Linked DNA regions of Bombyx mori. The protein of the gene in region 1 interacts with the protein of each later gene in a pairwise test. Links are inferred from orthologs where the notes say so. Each region holds a gene or a part of one and is shown in the gene's direction. Other genes may lie near its edges.

Region 1 (3,548 bases):
TTAGCAAAAGAAACATAATTCAAAAATATGTTTTGAAGAAAACCATCTCTTGCAAGAAAAGTGAAATGGAACCAAATTAAACGTAAATAATATATTTCGGTCCGGTGGTTGATTCAACGAAGCAGTGCTCTTGCGAGGGCAGATGTTGGCAGTCTCCAAGTCTGAGCCCCGTGAGCTCGTTCGGTGAAACTAGCATAATCCCTCGAGGTAATTAGTAATAGGCGGGCATAAAAAAATTAAGTATCAATTTACCTAAAATATAAGGCTCTATGTAAATACTTTTAAAGTCATTAAATTTTTTTTTATTGCTTTGATGGGTGGACGAGCTCACAGCCCACCTGGTGAAAAGTGCTTACTGGAGCCCATAAACATTTATAACGTAAATGCGCCACCCACCTTGAGATAAAAGTTCTAAGGTCTCAGTATAGTTACAACGCTTGCCCCATCCTTCAAGCCGAAACGCATTACTGCTTCACGGCAGAAATAGGCCGGGTGGTGGTACCTACCCGTGCGAAATAACATAGGTCCTATCACAAGTAAATGTCTGTGCTTCTTGAGTCTGGTGTGGGCCAGTTGCTTAAAAGTCTTCCTTTACCTTGGCTTCCTCTTAAGTGACCGCAAATTTTATTTCATATTCAGTCCTTCGGTATAGTTCAAAATATTGAATATTTTGCGTTATGGTTTATGTCAGACTAAATAGACAAGACGATCATGTTCATGTGGATTAAGCGCTACTATATGTACAACATTAATAAAGATAAAACCTGGCCAGAATATGCGGAGTATCGACCTCAAGCACTTAAATAAAAACACTAACAATTGGTTCGTGAGTGTCTTGGTCACTCTCCAGGTTTATGGTTAATAAAGACCTCTGGACTAAATGTGACCAAATCGCCAACGCGCAAGACATTACTAATCGGAAATGGGACTGGGACACACTCTACGGCGCAGCGGAGTTTGAGTGGAAACCGCGTGACAGAGAAGACCTGGTCACCCTGTCCACACTTGGCGACACACCGTGGAGAGCGAGAGGACTTTTTTTATAGCTTAGATGGATGGACGAGCTCATAGCCCACCTGTGTTAAGTGGTTACTGGAGCCCATAGACATCTACAACGTAAATGCACCATCCACGTATAGATATAAGTTCCAAGGTATACAGTTCTCAAGTATAGTTACAACGGCTGCCTCATCCTTCAAATCGAAACGCATTACTGTTTCACGGCAGATACAGGCAGGGTGGTGGTAACTACTCGCGCGGACTCAAAAGAGGTCCTATCACCAGTAAAAAGCTGGCTGCTGGCATGACCATGACCACATGGAGTGATGTCAAGGAGCAAGCACAAGACAGGGTCAAGTGGAGACAACTTGTGAAGGTCCTATTCAGCGGGGCACCCTAGGACTACAACATCTGCACAACTAAATACTATTTTCTTGGCAAGTTAACGTCTTAATTTTACAAAATACGAGAATTACATATCCACTGGAGGCGATACACTTTGCGAAGTTAGTTAGTTAATTAATACTATTAAGGCTTACTTTTTATTAATTTGATGTTTATACGCTTATTTCATGTACATTCTCTGTGCTGTCAATGCTGTCATGTAAATCATAAAATCATTCATATATATTCTGTGAACGAAAGCCGAGTTTGAAGTTTGTTTCTAATTCATTGTACCTATTACTTCTTACTGCATAAATTATTAACAATTTTTAACCATGTCTGCCCGATATGATAGAGCCATCACAGTATTTTCTCCTGATGGACATTTATTACAAGTAGAATATGCTCAAGAAGCTGTCAGAAAGGGGTCAACAGCAGTAAGTACAATTAATTTGGTTATGTTTATTGACGATGAGTAAGGGATTTTCAAATTCTGAATCTATCTCGATTCTCAGGTTGGAGTTAGAGGAGTCGATGTGGTAGTCTTAGGTGTTGAGAAAAAATCGGTTGCTAAATTGCAAGAAGAACGAACTGTGAGGAAAATATGTCTTTTGGATGATCACGTCGTAATGGCATTTGCCGGATTGACAGCAGACGCTCGTATATTAATAAACCGTGCACAAATCGAATGTCAATCACACAAGTTAACAGTCGAGGATCCAGTAACATTGGAGTATATTACAAGATACATAGCAGGTCTCAAACAGAAATATACTCAGAGCAATGGTCGTCGACCATTTGGTATTTCGTGTTTGATAGGAGGATTCGACTATGATGGTTCACCACACTTGTTCCAAACTGAACCTTCTGGTATATATTATGAATGGAAAGCTAATGCAACTGGTAGATCTGCAAAGACAGTACGAGAGTTTCTAGAGAAAAATTACACCGCTGATGAAGTTGCTACAGAGAATGGAGCTGTCAAGGTAATTTTCTTTAGAAAGTAAAAAATACAATTGAATATTAACTTAAATTTGAAATGCAATGACACTTCAACAATAAAATGTTAAAATATGAATACTTATTAATCTAAATTACTAATTTAGATGCTGTTACATTATTTTCTGTTTCATACATAACACCCACAATTAAATAATTATATTATTAATATATCCTCTAATTTTTAAATTACAGTTGGCTATCAGAGCACTCTTGGAAGTAGTACAGTCTGGCCAAAAGAACCTAGAAATTGCTGTAATGAGAAGAGGTCAACCAATGCAGATGCTTGACTTAGACACTATAAACTCCTATGTATCTGTCATTGAAAAAGAGAAAGAAGAGGAAGCAGAGAAGAAGAAACAGAAGAAGTAATTTAAAAATTGTAACTTTTTTATTAAAATAAATGGCATAAGGAATTCTTAATATTTGAATTTTCCTTAAGAATTCAACAAGTCTATAGTTTTTGAAATCTGACAATAAATATCTTTTAGTTCTGAACTGCATTCTTGACTGGAGCCTTTGTTAACTATAAAATCATTTAGCATCTGGTCCCATTCTCCATTGTAATGACTCTGTTGATTACTCTGAAAATGAAAAATTATTTTTTATAATTATTGATTACATAAACAGCATGTTACCGTCATAAAGGTTGATTTATTTTTATAATTTAAAATGTGTGTCCATTCCTCATATAATACATCATCATAATGCATACATTTGTGATATGAAGGGGTAAATCAGTTTTACTTGAAATCTTGTAACTATATGACAGAAATAACTGTAACAGCTATTATCTATTGTTCTCACAGCAGAAACATCACATGATCAATTCAGCCTACAAATTAGAGGTGGTTTACCATTAGTACTTTTCTGGTTCAGTAATATATTGGATATTGACTGCTGTAGTGAGATTTTCCTTCTAATTTCTTTCTAATACTGTGGAGCCTTGCTAGATACTGGTTTGAAGTTCTAACAGAATACTAGCAGTAACTAGTGTGACTGATATGCAATTTTCGTATGATTCAGTAAGAAAAGCTGTTAATACATACCTCATTAATGATAATATCATCATTTTGATCATTGCTAACTGAGGGCAGAACACAATTTAGTGAATTTTGTTCACTATCCATTCTATTCAAGCTTTTAACAGTAATTTCTTTCTTATT
Region 2 (4,511 bases), on another chromosome or scaffold:
GGAATTTAATTGTTTTTATGATGGAACAATCACCAGTAGTCGTCGAACAAACGATAATTGATCAAAATGAATTAATCTGAGCAATAAAAATAAAGATGTCTAGTAAGAGGGGCCCAATTAATGGTGATCATTTGTTTAATTTTTTTTTTTTTTTTTTTTTTTTTTTTTTTTTTTTTTTTTTTTTTTTTTTTTTTTTTATGGCTCGAGTCTCTTCTTTTACGAATTACTCTGCCAATGTCAGGTAGATAGAATATCAATGATATAGATAGATATAGATTGTAGCAGATGAGATGAATGAGAACTGGAGAAAAATTTGTAAATATTTTTACAGTTCAATGTTATTGCGGGAAATAAAATAAGCTAATGCATTTACAACTTTAGGATTAGGGAATGTTAAGAGATAGTTCATATTAACTGGGAACGGGATGTTAGTGTTAGTTAGTAAACAATATAGTGGTGGGCATTCAACATTAAGAGCGCATTCCAGAAATATATGATCTAAAGTACCGATAGATTTACCGCAACTACACATAGGAGAAGGTTTAATTTTTAGCTTAAATAAAAATTGTGGTGAGCAAAAGTGACCCAATCGAAGCCTGATAAGTACACTAGTTATTTGCTTGTTGAATTTTTTGAACTTATAAAACCAAGGTTTGATAAACACACTAGGATTTATTTTAGAATATTGATATTTGTAGGTTTCCCATTGCTTTTGCCAGTCTGATACGAGATTAAGTTTAATATTATGAATAAGATCACGACTTACATTCGCGTAGTACTCACAATCACCACTATGTGTTGCTTCTTTAGCCATTTGATCCACAGTTTCATTCCCAAGAATTCCTGTATGTGAAGGGATCCAAACTATTTCAACTTTGATGTTGTTTTGATGACAGGTGAACAACAGGTTTTTGATTATACAAACTAGCGGATTTTCTAAACAATTCTTTATCGGATTCTTTGAAATGGCTTGAATAGCACTAGAACAATCACTGAATATCGCGGAGTAGTTAATTGAGTGCTGCATGATGAACTTTAGACAACTTATCAATGCAATACACTCGCCCGTGAATACTGAGGTTTCTGGGGGTAGTTTGTGCAATTTGTAATGATTTGCGTTTGGGTGATAGAAGGCAGCACCAGTGTTACCATTTGAAACTAATTTCGAGGCATCGGTGAAAAATAAATTCCACCGTGGCCATTTTTCTTCTACCATGTTTAAAAATTTTAAGTTGGCGTTTTTTGTATTTTTTTCTAAACCTATGTTTAGATAAACTGTGGGGGAAATTGTTTAATTAATTAATTATAAATAAAAGATTTGTTAATTAATTAATTATAAATAAAAGACGTACAAACAATTTTTACATTCGAACATTAACGAACAAACGACGAACAAATAATAAAAAATAATAAAATCCGAAAATTAAAAAAAAGGGGCCAAATTTACAGAGCCCTACTAACTCTGTGTCGAACAAATGTCAGGACTTTTTGGCGGGAACGCGAGGATTAAAGTTGTGTGATTTGTTTTATTATGTCTTTTTAGTGTTTCTTCGGGTTTAAATGTGTAACAGCGGTGGTTAACTTAACTGTTTAATATCTGTGAAAGTGCACAAATATGGGAAAATGAATCAAAGCCGCCGGACGTGACTTCGCGGAAACCTCCAAAAAGTCCACTTAATAAATCTCAGTAAATGACCACCTTTTTACTGAGATTATATTTCATCCCATATTATCTCTTTTCATTTCATACCATGTTTCATATTAATTAACTTCATTTCATAATATCATATTCCATGTTAAAAAATAATATAAAAGATTAGGCCTTGTGGTATTATATCTTAGTTTTTCTATTTAGAAAAATAAAACTACTACTTCGAAAGTACGAACAAATGTCAGTTAATGTCACATCACAATCACAATTTCACTTTCACGCAATACACAAGCAAATAATATTATTCTAAACGAATATTCAGTAATAAAGCCCTTGGTATTAAACTTGTAGTATAATTATTGATTCTAAAATTTTGAGTCTCTCGCACACCGGATAATAAATATGTTTTAATTTGCAGTTTACGTAAAATAGGTGCTCACTCATATGCAGTACGTATTATACATCAAACAATTGAATAATAAAGTGTATATATTAAATAATAATTAGAAACAGATTCACATACATTTCAAAAATTCCAAAATTCCGTTCGTAATAAAACTTACGATACAGAATTAGAAGTCAGAATTATGGATCCAAAAGAAGCGGTTGAACATTTAGTTGCTCTGAAGGTGATGAGACTTACAAAGCCAGCATTGATAAGCCCTAATATCGTCACTTGTGACTCAAAAGATTTGCCAGGTAATATTCTCAATAATTATCTAAAAGATGATGCCACAGCAGTCAGTCAAATGGAAACTCTTGCTGCTGGACAATTCTTACTACTTCCTCAAAGTTTTGGAAATATTTATTTAGGGGAAACATTCTCTTGTTATGTTTGTGTTCACAATGAAACGAATCAACCTGTACAAAGTGTCTCCATAATAACTAGTCTACAAACTAATTCACAAAGAATAGAGCTTACAGCACAGGAGGGAACTACCCCTACTATGTTGGATGTTGATGAAACCCTTAGTGATGTTATTCACCATGAGGTCAAAGATTTAGGAACACATATATTAGTATGTGAAGTTTCGTACATGTCCAACTACAATACGTTAGCATCGTTCCGGAAATTCTTCAAATTTGAAGTCATGAAACCACTAGATGTGAAAACTAAATTTTATAATGCTGAATCAGGGGATATTTATCTTGAAGCACAAGTTCACAACATAACATCTGGGCCCATTATATTTGAGCAAGTATCTTTGGAAAGTTCTCAGCAATTCACTGTAAGTTCTTTGAATGAAGTGAATGGTGAGTCAGTGTTTGGTGAAGTGACATTATTACAGCCACAAGAGAGCTGTCAGTTCTTGTACTGGCTTAAACCAAAGGAAAACATGGCAAAAGAAGTCAAACCACATGGCCCTATGAGAAATATTGGAAAACTAGATATAGTCTGGAGGTCTAACTTAGGTGAGAAAGGCCGATTACAGACTAGTCAGTTGGAAGCCATGGCACTCGATCATGACGACTTAAGACTGACAGTTGAACAAATTCCTAGTAAAGTATGTGCAGATGAAGCTTTCACATTTAAATGTAAAGTTGTGAATGCCAGTGAAAGAACTTTAGATCTCATATTAAAACTGCGTTCTCCGCAAGACTCTAGTCTCCTATGGTGCGGAATTTCTAACAGAAAATTAGGGCCTCTAGAACCCGGAAAGACAACATTCATAAATTTAACTGCTTTACCAATCAACACAGGCTTACAGAAAGTGACTGGTGTGTCACTTGTTGATTTGTTTTTAAAACGCACTTATGATTATGATCATTTAGCTTCAGTTTATGTATATTAAAGATTTATTGCAATTACATGTATTTTACTTTAATTATTAAATTTTTACTGATTGAGAAACTGAACTGTACTAAGAACACGCAAACCAGAACATATTCTGTACTATTTTTGTAATTTTGTTTTATATCATTTTAGATTTTGTGTGTTGGTTGATATATACATAATGTGGATCCTTTTTAAAACTATTTCATTAGATAGTGGTTCAGTTTTAATATGCATAGTAATTAGTACAAGTATTCAACCTCATTTCTTGTAACATGTGGTGGCCTTGGATTTTGATGATCTTTTCAAATATGTAGTATTGTTTTTTCATTATTGCTTTAAATAGGCTGATGATCTCATGGACTCTACGAACCAAAATGCCACACCCAACTTCAGACATAAGATTGAAGTCTCGAGACACAATCCCACCCTACAAAATATGCAAAACACCTCTATATGTAGGCTTATGGGCCTATACTTTGGTTCTTAAAAAAAAAAAGTGTGAACTCGCCAAATTTGTTGCATTTCTAGTAAAGCATGAATCCAATATAGCCTAATGGTTTAATGGATTAATGGACCCAATACATCTTCGCGAGGTCGAACCAGTTTACGTAGCTCCATCGTGGCCACCGAAACGGTCAAGCGCGTCAGGTGGCTGGCTGCTCAAATAAACCTTTTTTCTTAAAAAAAAATTTATTCCTTAGATGGGTGGACGAGCTCACAGCCCACCTGGTGTTAAGTGGTTACTGAAGCCCATAGACATTTACAACGTAAATGCTCCACCCACCTTGAGATATAAGTTCTAAAGTCTCAAGTATAGTTACAACGGCTGCCCCACCCTTCAAACCGAAACGCATTACTGCTTCACGGCAGAAATATCCAGGGTGGTGGTGCCTACCCGCGCCGACTCCCAAGAGGTCCTACCACCACTTGGCGGCCGGTCGCTAAAAGAAGACGCTTAAGCGGCCAACCGCTAGTGAGTAACGATCCTTGCAATACGACCTACCTATAGTGGGTACACCAGAAAATGCAATAACAAGGTGCAGTAATAGAATTCAGAAAAGACTGCTGTTTATTCTCGAGTGA

What was found.
Region 2: the proteins of proteasome beta-subunit (region 1) and trafficking protein particle complex subunit 13 interact in a two-hybrid assay, tested with the Caenorhabditis elegans proteins (3 studies listed by BioGRID). The link is inferred for Bombyx mori from reciprocal best matches to the Caenorhabditis elegans genes pas-4 and C56C10.7.

What each region holds. Positions count from the first base shown.
Region 1 is NC_085110.1:13,656,717-13,660,264, forward strand, and holds proteasome beta-subunit, read left to right. Parts: upstream 1-1,641; 5' UTR 1,642-1,718; coding exon 1,719-1,820; intron 1,821-1,898; coding exon 1,899-2,369; intron 2,370-2,577; coding exon 2,578-2,754; 3' UTR 2,755-2,819; coding exon of another isoform or gene 2,820-2,966; 3' UTR 2,967-3,029; downstream 3,030-3,548. Other genes in the region: uncharacterized protein LOC101743699, read right to left, coding at 2,820-2,966, 3,432-3,548. UniProt on the Caenorhabditis elegans protein: The proteasome is a multicatalytic proteinase complex which is characterized by its ability to cleave peptides with Arg, Phe, Tyr, Leu, and Glu adjacent to the leaving group at neutral or slightly basic pH.
Region 2 is NC_085114.1:9,433,688-9,438,198, forward strand, and holds the start of trafficking protein particle complex subunit 13, read left to right. Parts: upstream 1-1,466; 5' UTR 1,467-1,987; intron 1,988-2,069; 5' UTR 2,070-2,238; coding exon 2,239-3,444; 3' UTR 3,445-4,511. Other genes in the region: uncharacterized protein LOC119628828, read right to left, coding at 516-524, 767-1,216.